Linked DNA regions of Xenopus tropicalis. The main gene of each other region encodes a partner of the protein of the gene in region 3 in a complex. Links are inferred from orthologs where the notes say so. Each region holds a gene or a part of one and is shown on either strand. Other genes may lie near its edges.

Evidence for each region.
Region 1: ttc25 (region 3) and efcab1 share a complex: the UniProt entries of both Homo sapiens proteins name them as parts of the outer dynein arm-docking complex. The link is inferred for Xenopus tropicalis from reciprocal best matches to the Homo sapiens genes ODAD4 and CLXN.
Region 2: ttc25 (region 3) and ccdc151 share a complex: the UniProt entries of both Homo sapiens proteins name them as parts of the outer dynein arm-docking complex. The link is inferred for Xenopus tropicalis from reciprocal best matches to the Homo sapiens genes ODAD4 and ODAD3.

Annotation. Positions count from the first base shown.
Region 1 is NC_030682.2:51,310,538-51,316,744, reverse strand, and holds the end of efcab1 (EF-hand calcium-binding domain-containing protein 1), read right to left. Parts: intron 5,685-6,207; coding exon 5,529-5,684; intron 5,448-5,528; coding exon 5,343-5,447; intron 4,528-5,342; coding exon 4,376-4,527; intron 3,433-4,375; coding exon 3,328-3,432; intron 1,418-3,327; coding exon 1,367-1,417; 3' UTR 1,017-1,366; downstream 1-1,016. UniProt on the Homo sapiens protein: Component of the outer dynein arm-docking complex (ODA-DC) that mediates outer dynein arms (ODA) binding onto the doublet microtubule. Seems to regulate the assembly of both ODAs and their axonemal docking complex onto ciliary microtubules.
Region 2 is NC_030679.2:139,190,210-139,197,745, forward strand, and holds part of ccdc151 (coiled-coil domain-containing protein 151), read right to left. Parts: intron 7,455-7,536; coding exon 7,350-7,454; intron 6,842-7,349; coding exon 6,716-6,841; intron 6,311-6,715; coding exon 6,188-6,310; intron 5,481-6,187; coding exon 5,337-5,480; intron 5,147-5,336; coding exon 4,986-5,146; intron 4,252-4,985; coding exon 4,095-4,251; intron 3,065-4,094; coding exon 2,909-3,064; intron 2,646-2,908; coding exon 2,561-2,645; intron 400-2,560; coding exon 269-399; 3' UTR 1-268. UniProt on the Homo sapiens protein: Component of the outer dynein arm-docking complex (ODA-DC) that mediates outer dynein arms (ODA) binding onto the doublet microtubule. Involved in mediating assembly of both ODAs and their axonemal docking complex onto ciliary microtubules.
Region 3 is NC_030686.2:7,203,526-7,211,061, forward strand, and holds part of ttc25 (tetratricopeptide repeat protein 25), read right to left. Parts: intron 6,579-7,536; coding exon 6,425-6,578; intron 6,295-6,424; coding exon 6,233-6,294; intron 4,814-6,232; coding exon 4,654-4,813; intron 952-4,653; coding exon 730-951; intron 1-729. UniProt on the Homo sapiens protein: Component of the outer dynein arm-docking complex (ODA-DC) that mediates outer dynein arms (ODA) binding onto the doublet microtubule. Plays an essential role for the assembly of ODA-DC and for the docking of ODA in ciliary axoneme.

The DNA.
Region 1 (6,207 bases), on a different chromosome or scaffold from region 3:
AACTGGTTTATTATAAGGCTTACAGTGCACTTTACTGCAAATGTTTGTTTGATAATCTATTTTGACGGCGATTATATTTTATGTAGTGGTTTTGTAATGTACACACAGCTTGGAGCAGTGCTCAGAAAAATTGTTCTAGTATAAAGTAGAAAGTCGGATAATTAATATATAGTTTCAGTTTTGAAATAAAACAAAACTGGTAACTATGTAAAGTCTTAAAGCGGACCTGTCACCCTAAGAAATAATTACAAATTGTTTTCTATTGTATTTGTCAAGCAAAATAAATTTCAGTTACACTATATAAATTATTTTAAACATGTTTCCTTTAGCTCTGGAATTCACAATTCCAGAACATAGGCAGGCTCCATTTTGTGGACATTGTTATTAAGGCAAGCTGTGCATCCTGCTAAAATCTTGTTTCTGTGCCAGTATGGGGGGACCTGATACCAATATCCATGCACTGGTTACACAATTAGATGGTGAGGAGGGAGGGGGAATGTGAGGAGTGCAGTGACATCTAAGGAGTTCTGAATTGAAAGTATCTGTCTGCCCCACCCCTATGCCTAAGGCATAAGGTGGCCATACACGCACCGATATTATCGTACGAAACCTCGTTTCGTACGATAATCGGTGCGTGTATGGCATGTCGGCGAGTCGACCGATATCGCAGGAAGCTGCCGATATCGGACGACTCGCCGATCGGACAAGTTTGAAAATTTTGATCGGGCGCCATAGAAGGCGCCTGACCAAAATTCTCCCTTCAGAGCTGAATCGGCAGAAGGAGGTAGAAATCCTATTGTTTCTACCTCCTTACCTGCCGATTCAGCCCTGAATGGTGTGTGGCGGATCTTACGATGTTTCGTGCGACCGATGGTCGTACGAAACATCGTCGGATCGCCACGTGTATGGCCACCTATAGAGGCAGGTCAGGCAATATATGACTGACAGCTGGGACTTTTAAATGCTTATATAATGGGTTTGGATATGTTAATAAAAAAATTACTTTGGGTTACACATTTAATTTGAAAAGGGCTTTTATTATACAGCTTTTAATGTCTGGGTGACAGGTCCACTTTAATATGTCATTAAAAGTTTATAAACTGAATACAGTCTTACAAGTGTGAGTGGTCACTGGATTTCAGTGCAGCCCCCCCAGCTTATGTAATATTCAGACAGCTGAAGTCTGTCCAACCACAGATGCAGATTGGACATACATGTTCCTTTTTTACAGACTTTAGTAAATTGTGGGATGCTTGTATCAGAGAATGTGTTGTACACTGTACAGATCATTTCCAGTTCTGATGGACCAGCTCTATTCATTCCCGTACGTAGTCAAGGTGATTGCAGTACTATTTGCACATCATTTCTATATATCATTGATCTCTGTAAAAGCTTGTTTTTCAAAGGCCATAATGCACTGGAAGAAAAAAAAAATATTATTAATTATCCTTTATTATTTCCAATACCACCATCGTTAAGTAACTCATACAGATGTTATTTTTCATTCACACTAGTCCTTGGCCTTGGAGCTTGAATTTAAAGAGCCCACTTACACAACGCATATAGGGTTAATTTCTTTAGAAGCCAATTCACTTTTCCCGTATGGGTGGAAACCAGTGTACACAGAGAAAACTAATACAAATACCCCCCATATGTAATAAAAGGCACTAACTGTGCCCAGTACCAGTAACCCGTAGCAACCAATAAGATGTTTGCTTTTAAACAGGTGATCAGTAAATTCTACCTGCTGATTGGCAGCTATGGGTTACTGCTCCTGGGCAAACTTAGTGCCTTTTATTAAATAACCCCCATAGTGCCTATATCAAAATTCAGGCAGCAGAGTTTACCACTGTTAAAGTGATGATACTGTAATTAAATTATGAAATACAATTTTATTTGTAATCCTATTAAATCCTGTACACAAAATAAAATAGTTTCTGCCACATAATATATGATTTATGTGACAGGAAAAAAAGGGTTAAAATTTACAAAGCGCTTTAAATTTTTTTAGAAAAGTTACAAGCAATGGCACATGGCATAAATCCCAACATTTTGACACCTGTGCAATTTTCACTTTGCTGGGTGCAATAATGCTTGGGTTTGCCCCTCCATTGACTTAAATAGTACTAGTGGGTCAGGCTTCTGTCATTGGGATAAACACATTTCCAAGCAATAATCATTTAATCTGTGAGTGCCCTAGAATAGTCAATTCAATTAACATTTAAGTTAGCTTAAAATTGTAATTTTGCCACTTTTTATCTGCTGCTGCTCTTCACTTCTTTTACCCTGACCGAAGGAATTTTTTTGTCAGGGACAATAATCTTCAATCCACCAGGACCGTGGATTATTGTTTTGAGGGCAGAATGACAGGACATATATGCCCAAATGGTTGGGCAGTATATTGGCCAAACTATAATACCAAATCTTAGCAAAAATGGGCAGTTTGACACAACTCCTGCGAGGTCACCAAACGAGTGGATCTTCTCCCAGTGTGCCCACCTAAGGTTGGCAACATCAGGCAAATTTGATCATTTGGCCCTAATTATTGAATAAAAAGATTGGTATATGGGCAGTTGGACTGAGGACCACATCAACGAGCCAGTGGTCCTCCATCTGATGGGAAAATTAAAGATTGAGATCTGGCCAATTTTAGGCCAGATATTGGTCGGGTAGGACCTTTGGGGGTGCCCATACACGGGAAGATAAGCTGCTGAATCAGTCTGAAGGACCTGAATCAGCAGCTGAAATCTGCCTGTGTATGGCCACCTTAACCAGACTGATCAAAATTAATTGCTAATTGGTTGCTATGGGTAACTGCACACTATTGACAGCTAATTGTGGTCATGAAAGAGAAAGAGAAGGTCCATATATGAAACCATATATCCTGCAATAGACTGCACATGGTTTTATAAAGTGGTTGTTTATTCTAAATCACTAACACTTTCTAATAATTTAAGACAACTGGAGGGCATAAGATCTCTTAGGGACAACCTTTTAAAAAAAAAGTCAGTGCTGTTAAAACATACATTTATGGCAGTTTGAGCCTTTTTCTACCAGCACGTAGGTTTAACTTTCTTGGCAAAAAAGGGTCAAACTGGACACATAGATTTGGCCACACATTAAAAGGTCAAACTGCACTAGTACACAAGTTAAGTCCATTGTGCTGATCACACAGGTGTCCAATTGTCTGTTATATTCTTTTATGTGGTTATTCCTTTATTGGTTGTCCTAGCTGTCTATACATATGTCTATATGTCTATACATATGTCCATATGTCTATATGTCTATCCCTATAAAACAAATAAGGAGTTCAGAGAATTTTCTTACTTTGCTATCTGGAAGACAAGGCCCAAATGCTTCTAGCAGAAGATTTTCTTCTTGTACAGCCTTTTCAAAATCCATATAGGACAATTTGCTGTCGTGGTCATAATCCTATAAAAAAAACTGATGGATTACTGCTTTTCCAACATGCCTTATTGCAATAGCATTTATTTCCATATATAAGAGGAGAATTTTTGCCCTACTTCCTGTAATATTTCCTACACAGCATTGTAATAAGTATGGCAGCTTCCCCCATAAATGCAGCTAACCCATGTTGTGCACACAGAATATGCTATACCCTTATTCTTTATAGAGAGATAAATTATCAGACACAATTTTAGCTTTCTGTGCTAAAGAACTACATTTTTCTTTTAATAAAGATCCATAGACAGGCAGCACTTGGTGATCCCTGGAATTCCTGCCAGGCCCAGACTGCTGGTAGTTTAAGGGTTCCAAAGCATTTAAGCACACAACTTAATGCAATTTATCAGTCACAGGTTAAATGATTACCTGAATGCCTGTCTGCTGATAATAAAGGCCCAGACTGACAATCTGTATAACTTGACATATGTCAGTGCAGATGCTATATACTGCCATAGACATCCACTATTTATTGGGCCTGTGGGGGCTGTTTGGGCATCACTTTAGTTGAAAAGCCAGGGTGAGTCCAGACATGAACATAACCATAGATGTTATTACAATAGTCTTCTTTTTCTCGCCTGTTGCAGAGTACAAGGAAAAAAAAAAGCTACATATACAGGACACTTACTGTGAACTTATCACACAAAACCTATTTTGCAGGTTGCCATCAGAATTTATAGGGCATGCAGTCCTTGGATGGGGAATCATTTCAGAAGAGATTCAAAGGGCTGATTGGCTGTGAATCATTTAAGTTGTATTATGCATGTGCAGCTGGATTTTACAAAATGGACTGACTAATTGCATATGTTACAAAAAAAAACTAAATTATGTGGTCAGTAGTCACTCTGAAACTACTGGTCAGTGAATCCACAGACTGTTGCTTATATGCTGGAATATTAGAAATGACATTTACCATCTTTTTTAATGCTATTTCAACCAAGTCCTTTACACCTTCATCAGGATCTTCCTCACTTGGCTGCTTCAGTAGGCTGTTCTTTAACATGTGGAACATCTCTTCTCTGGAGATATAGCCATCACCATTCAGGTCATAAACACCAAAACAATCTATGAAAAGGGATCACGATTTTGTAAAAGGAAGATATTAGAAAAAGCTTTGCCCAACTCTTAGTTTAGTAATTTAATACAGCAAAAAAATGTAAAATATTTTCACTTGCCACCCTGCAAATACACAGTTTATTTTAAGTAAAGCTAGCTAATCAGCTTGATGTGTAGGGAAAAACTTTGCATATTATTGTAAAGGCAAAGATTTTTAAGGCACAGTCTCCAAGGGTGAGGGCACACAGTGCGTATATGCGCTTCAGATCCACTTCTCCAGTGTTTCCATTGCTTCTCTGTAACAATGTGTTTGTGGATTAGCCTATAGCCAGTGGAGGAACAACCAGGGGTGTGGAGGGTGCACACCCCCTCAGGGCCCTCCAGCTGCTCGCAAAAAAAAGATGTCCTGTGGGGGGGGGGCGCAGATCATGGGTATGAAGATACCATCAAGGGTTGGGTTGGGCATAAGACTAGCTATATCCAGGTTAACACAAGTTTGTGGCTTTAGATCTCTAAATGGGAGATTTGTAATGGTATTTATTTTTTATATGTTTAAAACAGGACTGTCCCATTGGGGGCCCAATGAGTCACATGTGGCTCTCTGGCTTTTTACCCTCCAGCATGTCCAAGATCTCTGAAGCCGCCTTAATATGCCTCCATTGTTTATAATAATCTGTTCCGTAAATAAGAAAAATAGGAGATATATTTCCCACAGTGCTGCTGGTTACAAAGGTAAAATGCTGATAATACATTTTGATCAATACTGCAAATACTGTATCAATATATGAGCTTGTGTATCCATGTATCATATAAAAACTTCTTACATTTTATCCTTTCTTCTAGAGTCCCACGTAAAAATACGGACAGGCCTTCCACCCATTCTGTAACACTGATGTAGCTGTCATTATCTTTGTCAAATCCTCGAAACACTAGAAGATAAAGAAGTTAAGGCCATGTCAAAAGATTCAACAACTGATTCTTTGAAATTCACTCAGATAAAAGTCTCCCACCTCTGTCCATGATCATATCATCTGTCATGCCAAATGTATTGTGCAGGATATTTCTGAAAGTGTTTCGGTCAATGCCACGCCTTGTATTAGGATCAATGGGTCGTCCCACCAAAGTATGATAAAGGCGGATGAGGCTCTCCACTTCATTCTTACTAACTGCAAATTAAAGATATATAGTGTAATACTGAAACAAAATTTTAGTTGAGCAGATCATGTCAAAATTCAACCATACTTTGAATGCAATAGCCATGTTTTCCCACAATGTACTGCTTTTTCCAAGAATCCTGCAAGCCTAATGTGGGCTTTGAATTAGATGCAACTTCACATCATTTGCACTGTATCCGGCACAAATGCGCCCCAATTATCAAAATGGATGCAAATGCGTGTGTACTTTGCCACAGTTACGCCAATATATATTTGCAGACTGCCTGGCATCAGTTCTGATATTCAGCCTGTGAATGCTGTCTAAGCATTTCTTTAACCCCAAGTTTGCTGCATCTGTTGACTCAGGGCCCTGAAGGAACCCAGGAGCTAACACCTGGATGCAAGTACAGGTATGGGACCTATTATCCAGAATGCTTGGGACCTGAGGTTTTCTGGATAAGGGATCTTTCCATAATTTGTATCTCCATACCTTAAGTCTGCTAAAAATATCATTGAAATATTGAAGAAACCCAAT
Region 2 (7,536 bases), on a different chromosome or scaffold from region 3:
AAGATTATTTTATTATAAAGACAAAGGGAAAAGGGTTATTTAATTTTAAAGGGGCACTTTGCAGGATTGAGCCTGTTGTATGTATGTAAGATATTTAGAATCAGATGATGAGTACAGGGAATTCTGGGTGTTATAAAGAGGGCACAGATACAGTTAGGGGTGTCCCAGATAGGCTGGGGCCTAGCACTACAGCTGAGCTTGTATCTCTGAGATAATGGTGGGAGCCTCTGTAGAACAGAGACCGGTGAGGGGTTGGTAGGAGGGTCCATCACTGCTTGCCCTTTTTCTTCTTGGGGCGGGTTCTCCTCTTTGTTTTCGATTCAATGATTTGCTGGGACTGTCTCTTTAAGGTTGCTCGTGTCACCACATCACCTTCATCTTCTCCGCTGTCCTCTTCATCTGCAGTGAGGGAGACAATGGAGGCTTACGTCATCGTAACAGGAAGCGGGATGGAAGGAAGTGACTAGTGGCTTCCAGGGTTAGATATTCTTAGCGAATTGCTAAGTAGAACTTAGAAGGTATTCTATCCTGTGCTGTGATTTGCCTACTGCCAACACCTGGAAGGGTATCTGCCCTCTGTATGCCAAGTTATACATTTCCTGCATTCTTTGAGCCCACCCTTGTGTGGAGACATTGAAGCCCTGTACAATGCATGCCACTTTAGTCAGAATATGTGCTCCTACCCACCTCCCTGTCCCCTGTCCCCTATACTAACCCTAATGGTGTCAATCACCATGCAGCTACCAACCTCCCTGTCGCCTGCACCTACCCACCTCCCTGTCCCCTTTACCAGCCATGCAGCTATCAGCCTCCCTGTCCCCTGTACCAGCCATGCAGCTATCAGCCTCCCTGTCCCCTGTACCAACCATGCAGCTATCAGCCTCCATGTCCCCTGTACCAGCCATGCAGCTATCAGCCTCCCTGTCCCCTGTACCAGCCATGCAGCTATCAGCCTCCCTGTCCCCTGTACCAGCCATGCAGCTATCAGCCTCCCTGTCCCCTGTACCAGCCATGCAGCTATCAGCCTCCCTGTCCCCTGTACCAGCCATGCAGCTATCAGCCTCCCTGTCCCCTGTACCAACCATGCAGCTATCAGCCTCCATGTCCCCTGTACCAGCCATGCAGCTATCAGCCTCCCTGTCCCCTGTACCAGCCATGCAGCTATCAGCCTCCCTGTCCCCTGTACCAGCCATGCAGCTATCAGCCTCCCTGTCCCCTGTACCAGCCATGCAGCTATCAGCCTCCCTGTCCCCTGTACCAGCCATGCAGCTATCAGCCTCCCTGTCCCCTGTACCAGCCATGCAGCTATCAGCCTCCCTGTCCCCTGTACCAGCCATGCAGCTATCAGCCTCCCTGTCCCCTGTACCAACCATGCAGCTATCAGCCTCCCTGTTCCATGTACCAGCCATGCAGCTATCAGCCTCCCTGCCCTTTGTACCAACCATGCAGCTATCAGCCTCCCTGTCCCCTGTACCAACCATGCAGCTATCAGCCTCCCTGTCCCCTGTACCAGCCATGCAGCTATCAGCCTCCCTGTCCCCTGTACCAACCATGCAGCTATCAGCCTCCCTGTTCCATGTACCAGCCATGCAGCTATCAGCCTCCCTGTCCTCTGTACCAACCATGCAGCTATCAGCCTCCCTGTCCCCTGTACCAACCATACAGCTATCGGCCTCCCTGTCCCCTGTACCAACCATGCAGCTATCAGCCTCCCTGTCCCCTGTACCAGCCATGCAGCTATCAGCCTCCCTGTCCCCTGTACCAACCATGCAGCTATCAGCCTCCCTGTTCCATGTACCAACCATGCAGCTATCAGCCTCCCTGCCCTTTGTACCAACCATGCAGCTATCAGCCTCCCTGTCCCCTGTACCAACCATGCAGCTATCAGCCTCCATGTCCCCTGTACCAGCCATGCAGCTATCAGCCTCCCTGTCCCCTGTACCAACCATGCAGCTATCAGCCTCCCTGTTCCATGTACCAACCATGCAGCTATCAGCCTCCCTGTTCCCTGTACGAACCATGCAGCTATCAGCCTCCCTGTCCCCTGTACCAACAATACAGCTATCAGCCTCCCTGTTCCATGTAACAGCCATGCAGCTATCAGCCTCCCTGTTCCCTGTACCAACCATGCAGCTATCAGCCTCCCTGTCCCCTGTACCAGTTCTGCCACTATCAGATTTCCGGTCTCTTGTACCAGCTATGTGTCAGTCTTCCAGATCCCCTATACCTGTAGCTATCAGACTTCTCACTGCCTGTTCCAATCCTACACTAATCCAACCATGCAGCAATTCCTACCCATATACCTATGCCGAACCCTCTGCCCATTTATTCTCAATTACTATCAAATCAGCCCTAAAAAGTGAAAGTAAATGTCTGTTCACCCTCTTGCACACATGGTATAACCGAATCAGTGAAAGAAACACACACATGGATATCAAGAACATTTTGTACAGACTGCTTTTTTTTTTTTTAAATTGGTTCGCTACTACCCCTCCCAGCTACCCAACCATGTGCTTTGTAATGGTTTTGTATTGCTAAAGTTAGTGCCAGGAACACTTACCTTCAAACATGTCCTGCTTGGATGGAGCTGGAAGGGAAATTCGTATGTTGTGCGCTGGCAGTTTGCCCTCAATGCTTGCCTGGAACTGAGAATATTGGGATTATAATATAGCGCATAAATGAATGCAAATCTATGCCCCTTTAGGCGCACTCCCAGCATCAAACAGTTAAGTACCAGCCATGGTACTCTCCCCCTTCATGATGCACAAAGCCATTAGAAATCACCAAAATCAATAGGAGTAATGTTCATTCCTTACCTACACATAGGGCGCATTACTCATGCAAGGTGCAAAAAACACAGGCCCAGTGGGCTGTGCGCTTCAGAACCATTACTTTCTCTTTTACTCACCTCTTCTTCATCCATTTGTTTGATAATCTGTCCCAGATCCTGCCCCTCCAGCTCTTCCAGAAGCTTCTGCAACTTCTCCTCAGTGATGCCCATTAGGTCAAGGACTTGCTCATCTGACAATGGAGAACCATCCAGAGCAGGAAAATAGACCTTTGGCTAAAATGGTGAAGAGATTAATCATAATATGGTTGTACTGTGCAGCCAAGAATGATACCCAGCTCCCCACGAGAGTCCTGGGAATCTGCTCCGAGGATGCTCTTGGGCCTAAAACTAACTTTGACTTTTAGTACAGGCTGTCTCCAGGAATTTAGCACTACCAAGGAAGCAGGCCCAGACTGCCAATCTGTGGGTTCAGGCAAATGCCAGAGGGGCTGCTGTAAGGTGCCATAGACACTCACTATTTATTGGGCCTATGGGGGGCTGTTTGGGCCTCTGTGTACTGAAAATCAGGCCCAGACTGGCAATCTGTGGGTTCAGGCAAATGCCAGAGGGGCTGCTGTAAGATGCCATAGACAGTCACTATTCATTGGGCCTATGGGGGGCTGTTTGGGCCTCTGTGTACTGAAAATCAGGCCCAGACTGGCAATCTGTGGGTTCAGGCAAATGCCAGAGGGGCTGCTGTAAGATGCCATAGACAGTCACTATTTATTGGGCCTATGGGGGGCTGTTTGGGCCTCTGTGTACTGAAAATCAGGCCCAGACTGGCAATCTGTGGGTTCAGGCAAATGCCAGAGGGGCTGCTCTAAGGTGCCATAGACACTCACTATTTATCGGGCTGGTTTGGGCCTAACTGAACTTAAAATACCAGGTCCTATTTTAAATCCCAGTCCAGGTCTGCAAGGAGGCTAACCAGCCTCCGATTTGGAAAACTTTAAAAAAATTCATAGGTTGTGAAAAAAATTGTCAGTAGTCCACAGCTGTAAGGTCATGTGAGTCTAAAAGGTTCTGACTCTGGCTAAAGAGTTTGGGTCCTGGAATATGCAAAGAGTGCCGAGAATTCTGGAATAAACCGGGAGCTCAATGCATCCCTAAAAATTTCCCCTGGCACCAGTCAGCCATTCCACTTTCTGTTGGCCGCTTTCCCAGGCTGTTCAGGAAAACCTGCAGCTCTCAGCAATGTACACTGTAGGATGGCAGCCAATCAGCACTGAATACATTTCCTGTATTGCATCAACCTAGTACTCACCACCTTGATGTGCTTGACTTTGCTTGCTAGATGTTCCACTCCAGCTTTGGTCTCATTCAGAATTTTGGACATTTGTTCTAGTTCCTCTTTGGTTTTCTCACACCTTTTCTCTTCTTTCTGGAGGTGACTCTGCAGCTCTTCCAGATCCTGCTGCCCTCTATTATGGAACAAAGTAAATGATGAGAGATATTATGTGGCTCTAGGCATTACAGTTAGGGTGAAGACACACGGAGCTAATTAGTAGCAGCTACTTGTCACGGCTACTAAATGCTGGAAAATCCCCTGCCATAGACAATACTGAGAATTGCCTCTGCTAAAACACACAAAGAGACAATTATCAGTAAATTATCAGCATTGTCTTTTTTTGTAGCCTTGACAAGTAGCTGCTACTGGTAGCTCTGTGTGTCTTCACCCTTAAGGTGGCCATACACATAGGCCTTATATTAACAACAGACCCCAGTCAGCCACTCCAGACCAATTCAGCAGCCATACACGTAGCAATAACGATCGTTCCTACCCTCCACTGACGTTCAGGGCTGAATTGTCAGATATGGAGGTAAAAACAATAGAAATTCTACCTCCACCTGCCAATTCAGTCCTGAAAATTTTGCTTGGGCGCCTTCAATGGTGCAATCTGGGCAATCACAGGGGTGGGCATATTGGGAACAGGTCCGCTCCATTGGTGACCTTGTGCTCTTTACATGTATGGCCAGCACATATGGCTAAATATAGAACATAGTTCCCTCTGTTCAGGATGATGGCCCAAACAAGCATTAAGTGAGATGGTTCTACAGCTCTGCTAGCAAACCTTTCTGCAGATGCAATGATGTGACTGAGGATTTCCATGACCACATAAGACCACTCTCAGTGGTCACAAGGAAACATATATACCTGGACAATTTGGCTTCCCCAGAGTACTTCTGGTTACGGAATTCCTCCTCCAGTTTCTCCTTCTGCTCTTTCAGCCTCACCAGTGTCCTTTCATTCTCAATCTTTAGTTCCTCCAAGTGTTTGCTAGTTTCTCCCTGGGCTATGAAGCGCCTCACAATCTCCTGCAGGGTTATAGGGGGAACATGGGGTGAAACCTCGGTAGTGCTGCAAGACACGTGTCCCAACCAGGCATTCAGCCTCCAGGGCACTCTATTGTATGTCACATGGCTAATGTCCCAGGATTGCTTTGATCTCAATGAGAAACGTGAGAGCACTGTGGTATATACCACGTATTACTGACAGCCCCCTCACCTGAGTATCTGTCACGCCAGTGGCTTCCTTTATCCTCTGAAAGGCTTCCTGGAAGGTGCGTATCACCTTTTCTTCATCTTCTCCACTTGGCGTCTGTTGAGTGTCCACTGTAGCATCGTCTCCAGGCAAGGCCACTCGCTGAGCCTATAAAAGCATCACAATTTCACATTTCATCAGAACAGCCAGGATCCAAAATGGATAACAGAGAGTAACATGATGACAGGGCCATGCCTATGGTCTCATTTATCAACAAGTGGAAAGGAGCAAAACCAAAACGTGCATGGCACTATGATTTCTGCCCACTATGCACAGTCACCTCCAAGTGGTGCTTAGAATAGTGCAAGAGTTGTGCTTTTCTCTCTCCCTGATAAATTTCACATGGAAAAGAGTTGGGTGTTCCTGGCATGTCCTACCTTGACATTATTCAGCATGCACCAAGCAGCATTGCTGGGGGTGGGGGCGAAAGGCACAAGAGAACCCTTTACTTAATGCCTCAACTTGAACCAATGTAGCAATAGTCAGCTGTCCTCCAGCCAAAAAGTCCCACAATGCTTTGTATGCTTCTTCACATTAATCAGTTGGCTTCTGCTACATTGTTTCAGGAGTCAGACAGATACTGCATTAATAGCAATCACATTTAGAAACTGGCGCTTGCCCTCAGAGTAGCACACAAGTGCCCACACTCCCACATGCCTTCCATGCTTAGTGCAACTTGCACCCAGATGAACAGTATTCACTAACCTGGGAGATTCTTTGTGTCTCTGGGTTTGGGCACAGAGATTGGCAGAGTCATTATGAGGGAGAGATATGGGGTAAAGCTCTTTGGGTGGGGTAGGGAATCAAAACCTTACCCTTCTTTCCACGCGCTCAGCATGAATACGTCTCTCTTCCGCTTGCTTTTTGTAATTCTGAAGGGTGCGCTCTCTTTCCCTTCTTTCTCTTGTAACTTCTTCTTCCTGCTGCTGAAGGTCAGTCTGTCAACCAGAAGGTAAAAGAGCATACCATAAATACCCAGCGCTCAATGCACACGAACTATAGTAACTATACTATATAGTAGGGATGCTTCGAATCATGGATTCGTTTTGGGATTTGGCCAAGATTTTGCCTTTTTCAGCAGGATTCCGCCGAATCCATGCTCCTGGCCAAACCAAACCCGAATTCTAAAAAGCATCTGATTTTTTTGTCACGTAAACATGGAAGTTTTTGCCGCACAACCTTTAACCCTTCCATGATCTAATTAGCATTCAGATTCAGTTCAATATTCGGCTGAATCTTTTACCAAGGATTCGGGGTTCGGCCGAATCCGAAAAAAGTGGATTTGGTGCATCCCTACTATATAGGGATATTTCTAGAAGTAAAGGACTCCCTGTCCCTCGTACCCGCGCCTCATCCCGTGCTTGCACAGCATCTCTGTTCATCTTCTGAAGCTCCTTCAGCTCACTTCTCTGCTTTATGATCTCAGCCTCTATGAGATCCAGCTGAGTCTGAAATGTCAGGCTTTCCTCCTGCAGAGATAGAAAGAGAGCATTGAGAGAAGGGACTCCTGTTCTGTGGAGCTTACACTCTAATACAGTGATCCCCAACCAGTGGCTCGAGGGCAACATGTTGCTCACCAACCCCTCTGATGTTGCTCCCAGTGGCATGAAAGCAGGTGCCTATTTTTGAATTTCTGACTTGAAGACAAGGTTTGGAGGCATAAAGACCATATATACTGTCCAGCAAAGCCTCCTGTAGGCTGCCAGTCATCACTGGGATACCAAATAACCAATCACAGCCCTTATTGATCATCCCCTAGGAATTTTTTTCCTGCTTGTGTTGCTCACAGGTAAAAAAGGTTGTGGACCCCTGCTCTAAAACATAGGGGGAAACAGATAAAATACAGTGTGAGGGGAATCCTATCCTATTCCATACACAAAGGCAGAACCATAGAGTGACAATGACTAAACCCAGTGACCAGAAGTGGAAAGAAGTGGCAGCATGAAGCAGTGGCCAAGCTCTAGAGACTCCTGTTACCTGCATGTGCTCTCTTAGCTTTTGATAGACGCTGAAAATGTGTTCTGCCTCCTGGTTCTTCAGCTGCGCCTTTTCCAGTCGGTTTTCCAAGAGACGCATGGCCTGCTGAACAAAGGGCAGGAGAGACTTACTGAGGGGAAACCATATAGCTGACTAGAGGTAAAGAGAAACCCAAAGCCTGTTAGAA
Region 3 (7,536 bases):
GAGAACAAGGAAGCTGCTAACTCCATGGATTTATTTGGAGCATTTGGCAGAAACACAAGAATAAATCCATGGAGTTAGCAGTATAAATCTGCCTGTTTGTGTTCTCTTTCCAGTTCTGAATTTTCTTTTTAACAATGTTCTTGGGCCTCTGGTTCCAGGGTAATATACTGTATTATTTGTTACCTTATTGCTTGTGGCTAAACGCAAAGAAAACACATCAAGGGTTTGGCACAGCTGGAATACTGAGTAAAGGGTTAAAGGGGAACTTGTTACACAGCCCCACACAACACAGAAACCCCTAATATCCCTATCCCTGTAATCTGTTCCTTCTGCATCATTTGTAATCCTGGCAGGGGAGGAGGGACTAAAACACTGATGTTACACATTGTAACAACTTCTCCCCAGCTTACAGACAGCATGCAGGAACTACATAACCCACAATGCATTGCACTGGGATGTTCCTTATTGACATCACGTGTGCAGCAGGGAATTGTGGGATTGGGAGGAGTCAGCCAGACCAGCAGGGGAACAGGAGGCGGGGCTTAGGGAACTGTTCCAAACCAGATTATTACATTAAACATCATGAAAAGGCTGCATATTGTTTAATTGATGTATATTGCAAAGTTGCTTGAAATTATGTTTACTTTTAAAAAAGTTTAAGTTGTGTTTGGGTGGAGGTTCAACATGACCTGCCAACTATGTTGCATGGTTAATGTTATTATTCCTTACGCTGATCTATTTCCTCCAGGCTCTTTACAATGTATTGGCTAGGGTCGGCAGGCGTGTTTTTATCCCGCTTCCACTTCTGCTGCATGATCTTGCGGTCCCTCTCCCGCGCGTAGATGGGCTTCTGCTGCCTCCAGAACTCCGTGCGGGTGTCCAGGTAGAGGATTCCATTAATGATCAGGTCATGCAGTTTGACCCCACTCCGTGTGTTTCCATTCACTAAAGCTGCAGCAAAGAGACAAGGCCACAGACTTAAGAATATGGGAAAGAATAAACTGCTTTATAGAGGAGAAGGAAAGTCATTTTACTGCCAATAGATTAGCCACATTAGTGCCACCTAGAACACTATATTTATTCTTCAGAAATCATTGCCATACCTGAGTAAAGAGCCCTAGAAGCTTTCTCTGTTTGTTTAAGACCGCAGCTGCCATTATAAGTAGCGTCACTATGGGGCTCTGTAAGCTGCCAATTGTATTATTATTGTTACTTTTTATTCCTTATCTTTCTATTCACCCCTTCTCCTATTCCAGTCTCTCATTCAAGCCACTGCCTGGTTGCTAAGGTAAACAAGACCCTAGCAACAGGATAGCTGCTGAAATTCCAAACTGGAGAGCCACCGAACAAAAAGCTACATAACTGAAAAACTACAAAAAATAAAAAGTGAAAACGAATTGCAGATTTTCTCAGATTATCTACATCATACTAGAAGTTAATCTGTGAAGGCCGATGGCTGATGGCCCACGGAGTGAGTTGGTCACCAGTGATAGATCTCTGAACCGCGGGCAACTAACCGCTCCAAGATGCCTTTCCACTGGCAACAATACGAATGGTCCAAGCATCACTTTGGCTTTGTGAAGTTGCGCAAAGTTGCCTGCAGGACAAAACTTTGTATGATCTATCGCAGGTGACTAACTTGCTAACATCAGCCTAAGGGGGAAGACACACAGAGCTACTTAGTAGCAGCTACTTGTCACGGCTACTAAACTCTAGAAAATCCCCTGCCATAGACAATACTGAGAATTGCCTCTGCTAAACACACGTAGAGACAATTATCAGTAAATGATCAACATTATCTGTTTTAGTAGCCACAACAAGTAGCTGCTACTAGTAGCTCTGTGTGTCTTCACCCTAAGGGGTCAGAGCTGTATACATATGTGGAAAATGTTGTCACTTTAAGTGATCCTATCCCATTCCTGTTATTTACAATAAAGGGTCTGTATCACAACCCGTGCTGTTTTTTGCACATTCCCAGAAACCCCTGTGCCAGGTGCTGCCAGACTCACTGTCACTGGATCTCTATTGGCTCATTCAGCGTTTGATGCAGCCGCTCTGCAAGGATCTGATAAGCTGAACATATTGTTTCTATGTATTTTCCTGCCCCGGCGCAGTGTGCAAGGGTCTGGAAAATGTGTACGGCAACTGAAAAATGGTGCAAAAAACACCATCATTTTAATATTTCATTATGCTGTGAAATAGCTTTCATAGAAGTACTACAGGATGGTGATTGTTCAGAGCTGCTACTGACACAAAACACCTGCATGAATAAGGGAAGTATAAAAGGGAAAGGGGTTGCTGTCCAGTAACCCATAGCAACAGTGGTGTTCCTATGACTGCACTGGAATGATCCTTGTTAATTGGTTGCGTTGGATTTTGGAACAATGACAATATCTGCGATGAGATGCAGAGCGCAATATGCACGGACGCAAGGGGGCCTCGTACTTGACTCACTGCCTTCCTCCCAGCATCCTCTGCTGCTTTTGCCTGTATGATGTGAACATTATGGAGGATGCCATACAGAAACATACATTCTTTTAGAATGTAAGCTCTTGCGAGCAGGGCCCTCCCCCTAGTGTCTCTGATCCTCATCCAATGTAACTGCAAACCATTTTTGTGAATTGTTTATATGTATATGTTAACTGTTATGTCTTTTGTACCCCTCTATTCTGTAAAGCACTGCGTAAATTGATGGCACTATATAAATAATGATAATAATAATAATATAGAAGCCTGCGTCATTCTTTGCACTCCCAAATAGGGCTCTTTATACCAGTATTTTGTACTTTGCCCAAGTGTCATTTGTGCATAGGCCAGGGGGCCCGTGGGCCTGGATCACAGGGTCTGCTTCCTCAATAGTTTTTAGAATGCCCCCCTCCCCAGCCGCTCCCTTACCTACCCCAGCATGAGCAGCCAGGGAGCAGGGGTTACATGCAGGGTGGGTGGAGGGAAGGCTGGGCTGCTGTGCACAATGGGCCCCTCCAAAAATCTTTTGTGGGTGGGCCCAGCGCACTATTGTTACACCACTGCCACTGAGTTAGCTGAATTTATGCTGATATAATTCTGCAGTTAAAATGGATTTACCCATAAAGTTCCTTATTGTATGGTAATACCATGTGACTTTCTTTCGTTGATGGGAAATGTTTGTGGTGATAACTTTCTATGTTTTAGATGAAAAACTGTTATTCACTATAATTCCTTATTGAATATAATGTTATATTTGTATGGTTATGCTTACGGGTTTTGTTTCTTCTTTACTGTTTTGCCTTCAATAAAAAAATGCCTTGTGCTGGAAAATACTTGGATATAACACAATAATTCTGATGAACACTTTATGTATATGGCTACATAGTGCCATCTTGTGGTCAAACCAAGTATCATCACTGCTTTTACTGTTTTGCAGCACAGGTGTTACCTGAACATATAAGCTCTATTTCAGCCCAGACTGCTTAGTTGCTTGAAATTACACTTTCTTCCACTATACAAAAAAAAAAAAAGTTTTTAGGTGGAGGACCCCTTTAAGCTATGGATGCATAGAATTTATCCATCCCTGGGGGGCAAAATTGCGCCCCTTGGTTCTCATTTGGGAAGCACTTGTGCGCCCCTGTCTGCACCCTGTGTGGGGCATTTAAATGAACCCTTATAGCTTGTCATTACAAAAAAATAGATGGAATATGGAAATAAAAATATCAGAAAAAGAAACCTAAGAACTTTGTTTTGTGATTTGTCCACACATGTTAATGGCAAGATTGCATTAATCTGAGTGTCCGGCTGCTGGACTACACAAGCTCTGCTATTTCCGGTGTCCCTGACATGTGCCAATAGCATGCATCAGCAGCCAGGGGCTTTATCTACTGTCCCCTAGATCTACCTTTTAAGTATTTCAGATTAGTAAAGTCATGTCCAAACAGACAACACTGCGATAGGATCAGAGAACAGTCTGATAAAACATTATCCTAGGAAGCCATACAAGAAGATATTGTCAGGTAAAAAAGTCTAAAGGTCCCCATACTGTAGCTGTCGATATGGGTCCCTTGGACCGATTCAGCAGCTTATCGGCCCATGTAGGGGCAGAAACGAGGGGCCAGCCCGACCGATATCTGGCCTGAAATTGGCCAGATATCAATCGGGCAGGTTAGAAAATTCGGCTCGTTGATGCGGACCACAAACCGACTGCCCCATTTCCGCCAATATAATTTGATGGTTTGGCCCCAGGGCCAAACGATTGAATTAGCCTACACGCTCCCCGATATTGCCCACCCGTAGGTGGGGATATCGGGTGAAGATCTGCTCGCTTGGCGATCTCGCCAAGCGAACGAAACTTAACGTGTATGGGCACCTTTAATTGGCCAGATTTTCAGAGCATCTTGCTCCACAGATCGGCACCTTAAAGTCCAAATGTTAATCACTTCCCTGATACCCTGAGCCGGTGTTTCTGTTAGCAGAAAACTGCACCAGCCCTGGGTACTTTTCAGTAAACACCACGGCACAATCCTCTTCTTCTGCTCCTTCTTTTTTCCTATAATCACTGGGGACGGGGAGCCTTACATTTGGCACACCCAGTGATTTGCGCGTTTCTCCTCCTTTAAAGCAGGCGCTTACATCATAATGAGGGCACCTGAATAAGAATACTAAATTCATTTAACTACCTACCTTCATCCCTTAATAATGATTCCAGATACTCCTTATCACTGTACAGCTCTCCGAGGAGCTGGCGCGCTGTCTTCTGGCTCCTCTCAGGATCTACTTTCTTCTGCTGTTTTGTATCCTTCTTCTGCACCTTCACCTGAGCCTTCTGCTTAGCTTTCTTGCTCTGAAGTAAATTAAATTATAAACAATGTAGCCTTTGGTGTTTATTTCAGCCTCAATAACATGTATCATGTACTAGTACCATGCTCTTGCAAAAAGTTCTATCTCCATTACTATATATATATATATATACTTCTTTGTAGCAGTGGAGGTAGTTAGGTAAGGCTGTAGGGTACACTTTGGAGAGTACGTTAGCTATTAATAATACAATAGCTCTGGTATCTAAGTGCTAATAAACAGAGGTCAAATGGCATCAAAGGCTCCCAACAACATATATAAGGTGGCCATACATGGTGTGATCTACTCATTTGACAAGGTTGCCAAACAAGCAGATCTTTTCCCGATCTTCTCATGCCCACCTAAGGTGGCCAAATGGTCAAACAAGTCAATCAACAAGCCGATGCGGTCCTAGATCCGAAGGAAAAATGCCTGCCTGATTGAGATCTGCCCAATTTTAGGCCAGTTGTTGGTCAGGTAGGCCCATCGGGGGTGCCCATACACGGGCAGATAAACTGCCGAATCAGTGTGAAGGACCCAAATCAGCAGCTGTTATCTGCCTGTGTATGGCCACCTTAAGTGGGCCATAACTTGAACGATCCACATTGTACAGGTATAGGACCCATTATCCAGAATGCTCGGGACCAAGGGTATTCCGGATAAGGGGTCTTTCCGTAATTTGGATCTCCATACCTTAAGAGTACTAAAAAATCAATAAAACATTAATTAAACCCAATAGGATTGTTTTGCATCCAATAAGGATTATTTATATCTTAGTTGGAATCAATTACAAGGTTCTGTTTTATTTCTACATAGAAAAAGAAAATCAGTTTTAAAATTCTGAATTATTTGATTAAAATGGAGTCTATGGGAGATGGGCATTCCGTAATTCGGAGCTTTCTGGATAACGGGTTTCCGGATAAGGGGTCCGGCACCTGTAATAGCCTCTGGCCAAATGATCGAATCACAAGGTCAGGGATACAGGCCCAATGAGCTGATGAGATCATCACTTGAGAGATTTTTAAACCTGTCCAATTGAATTCTGCCTGATTTTCAGCCAGAAATAGGTCGGGTAGACCCACCGGAGTGCCCCATACATGGGCAGATAAGCTGCCAACTCGGACTGAAGGAGACGAAAAAGCTAACAATCTGCCTGTGTATGGCCGCTATTAGGGTAACTTCAGAGGAAGAAATCTGTAAACATGGTAAGTCCCAGCTAGCCTTTCAAGGTAAAGTAAAACTTTCTTATAAGCCAGGCTGGCCTTTATGAGGACATAACACAGACTGTGGCATACACATAAACATGGGAGATGATCATACATTTCTTTCTCCCAAGCTACATCATATTCCATATTCACTTCATATTTAAATGTCTGTGGCAGGCAATATATCAAATAGAAACCATTGTACAAAGAAAGCATTTTACCTCCTCCTGTCTGCTTATGAACTGCAAGTCTGCTTTATTTTGAAGTTTAACACTGGCAGGAGCTATGGGGAAAAGAGAAATATCAGTAAAAGAATATATGCAAGTGTATCTATATATCTGTATACATACATGCATAAATGGTGAAATACAAGGGACAAACTGGATAAGACAGCACAGCCAGAAACGACTCACTTCCAACAGAGTTCTCTATTGCTTCCTGCGCCTTTTGAATCCCCAGGCGGAATCCCTGAAATTCTGGCCGCAGCTTGTACCCTCTGTGGTAATGCACAAGGGCAAATTCAAAGTCTCCCATAGAATAGAGTGCCTCCGCCTTCTGGTAAAGACCCTAAAAGTGAATAAAAAAACAGTGTGGAATTAAATGGCAGAATAGTGGGTAACACCTATTAAAGCACATTGCTTACAGTAAGCTTTCTCATTACATGCTGGGAGTTATAGTTAAACAACAGCGTGCATACTGGACAGATCCAATATATACAAGCATACAATGATTCACCTTCAGGTTAACTTTTAGTATGTTAGAGAATGGCCTATTCTTAGCAACTTTTCAATTGGTCTTCATTTTCTTCGTTTTTTAGTTATTCCTCTTCTGACTCTTTTCAGCTTTTAAATGGGGATCACTGACCCCAGCAGCCAAAAACTATTGGTCTGTGAGCAGGGTCAGACTGGGGGATGCAGGGCCCACCGGGGCTTCTGCCTCAGGGGTCCCTGCACCCTCCAATGGCCCCTGCCGCCTTCACCCCCCCCTTCCCCCCCACAGAGGCCCCCAACACCCTTGAGTGCTCCTAAAAGAAACTTACCTGTGGCGCTTGGGGTGAGGGAGACAGTGGGAGCGCCCTGGGGGTGATCGGATCCCACTAGGGCCGGGGGCCCACGGGGATTTTTCCCAGTAGCCCAGCGACCCAGTCCAACGCTGTCTGTGAGGCTACAGTTTTACTGTAACTTATCCTCCTATCTAGGCCCTCCTCTATTCATATACCTGTCTCTCTTTCAAACCACTGTCTGGTATCTAGTTTAAATTTGACCCTAGCAACCAGATGGCTGCTGAAATTCCAAACTGGAGAGCTGCTAAACAATTAAATGGCAAACAATAAAAAAATGAAGACCAATTGCAAATTGTCTCAGTACAGCGCTCTCTACATCATACTAAAAGTTATTTTGAAGGTGAACAACCCATTTTACTGGGCAGGGCATACAGAGAGTAGATTTTTATTGCTATTGCAGAAAAGCAGAAGATGTTTAAGTGAACTAAATGGATGGGTTAAATTGTTGTTTTTATATAGGTA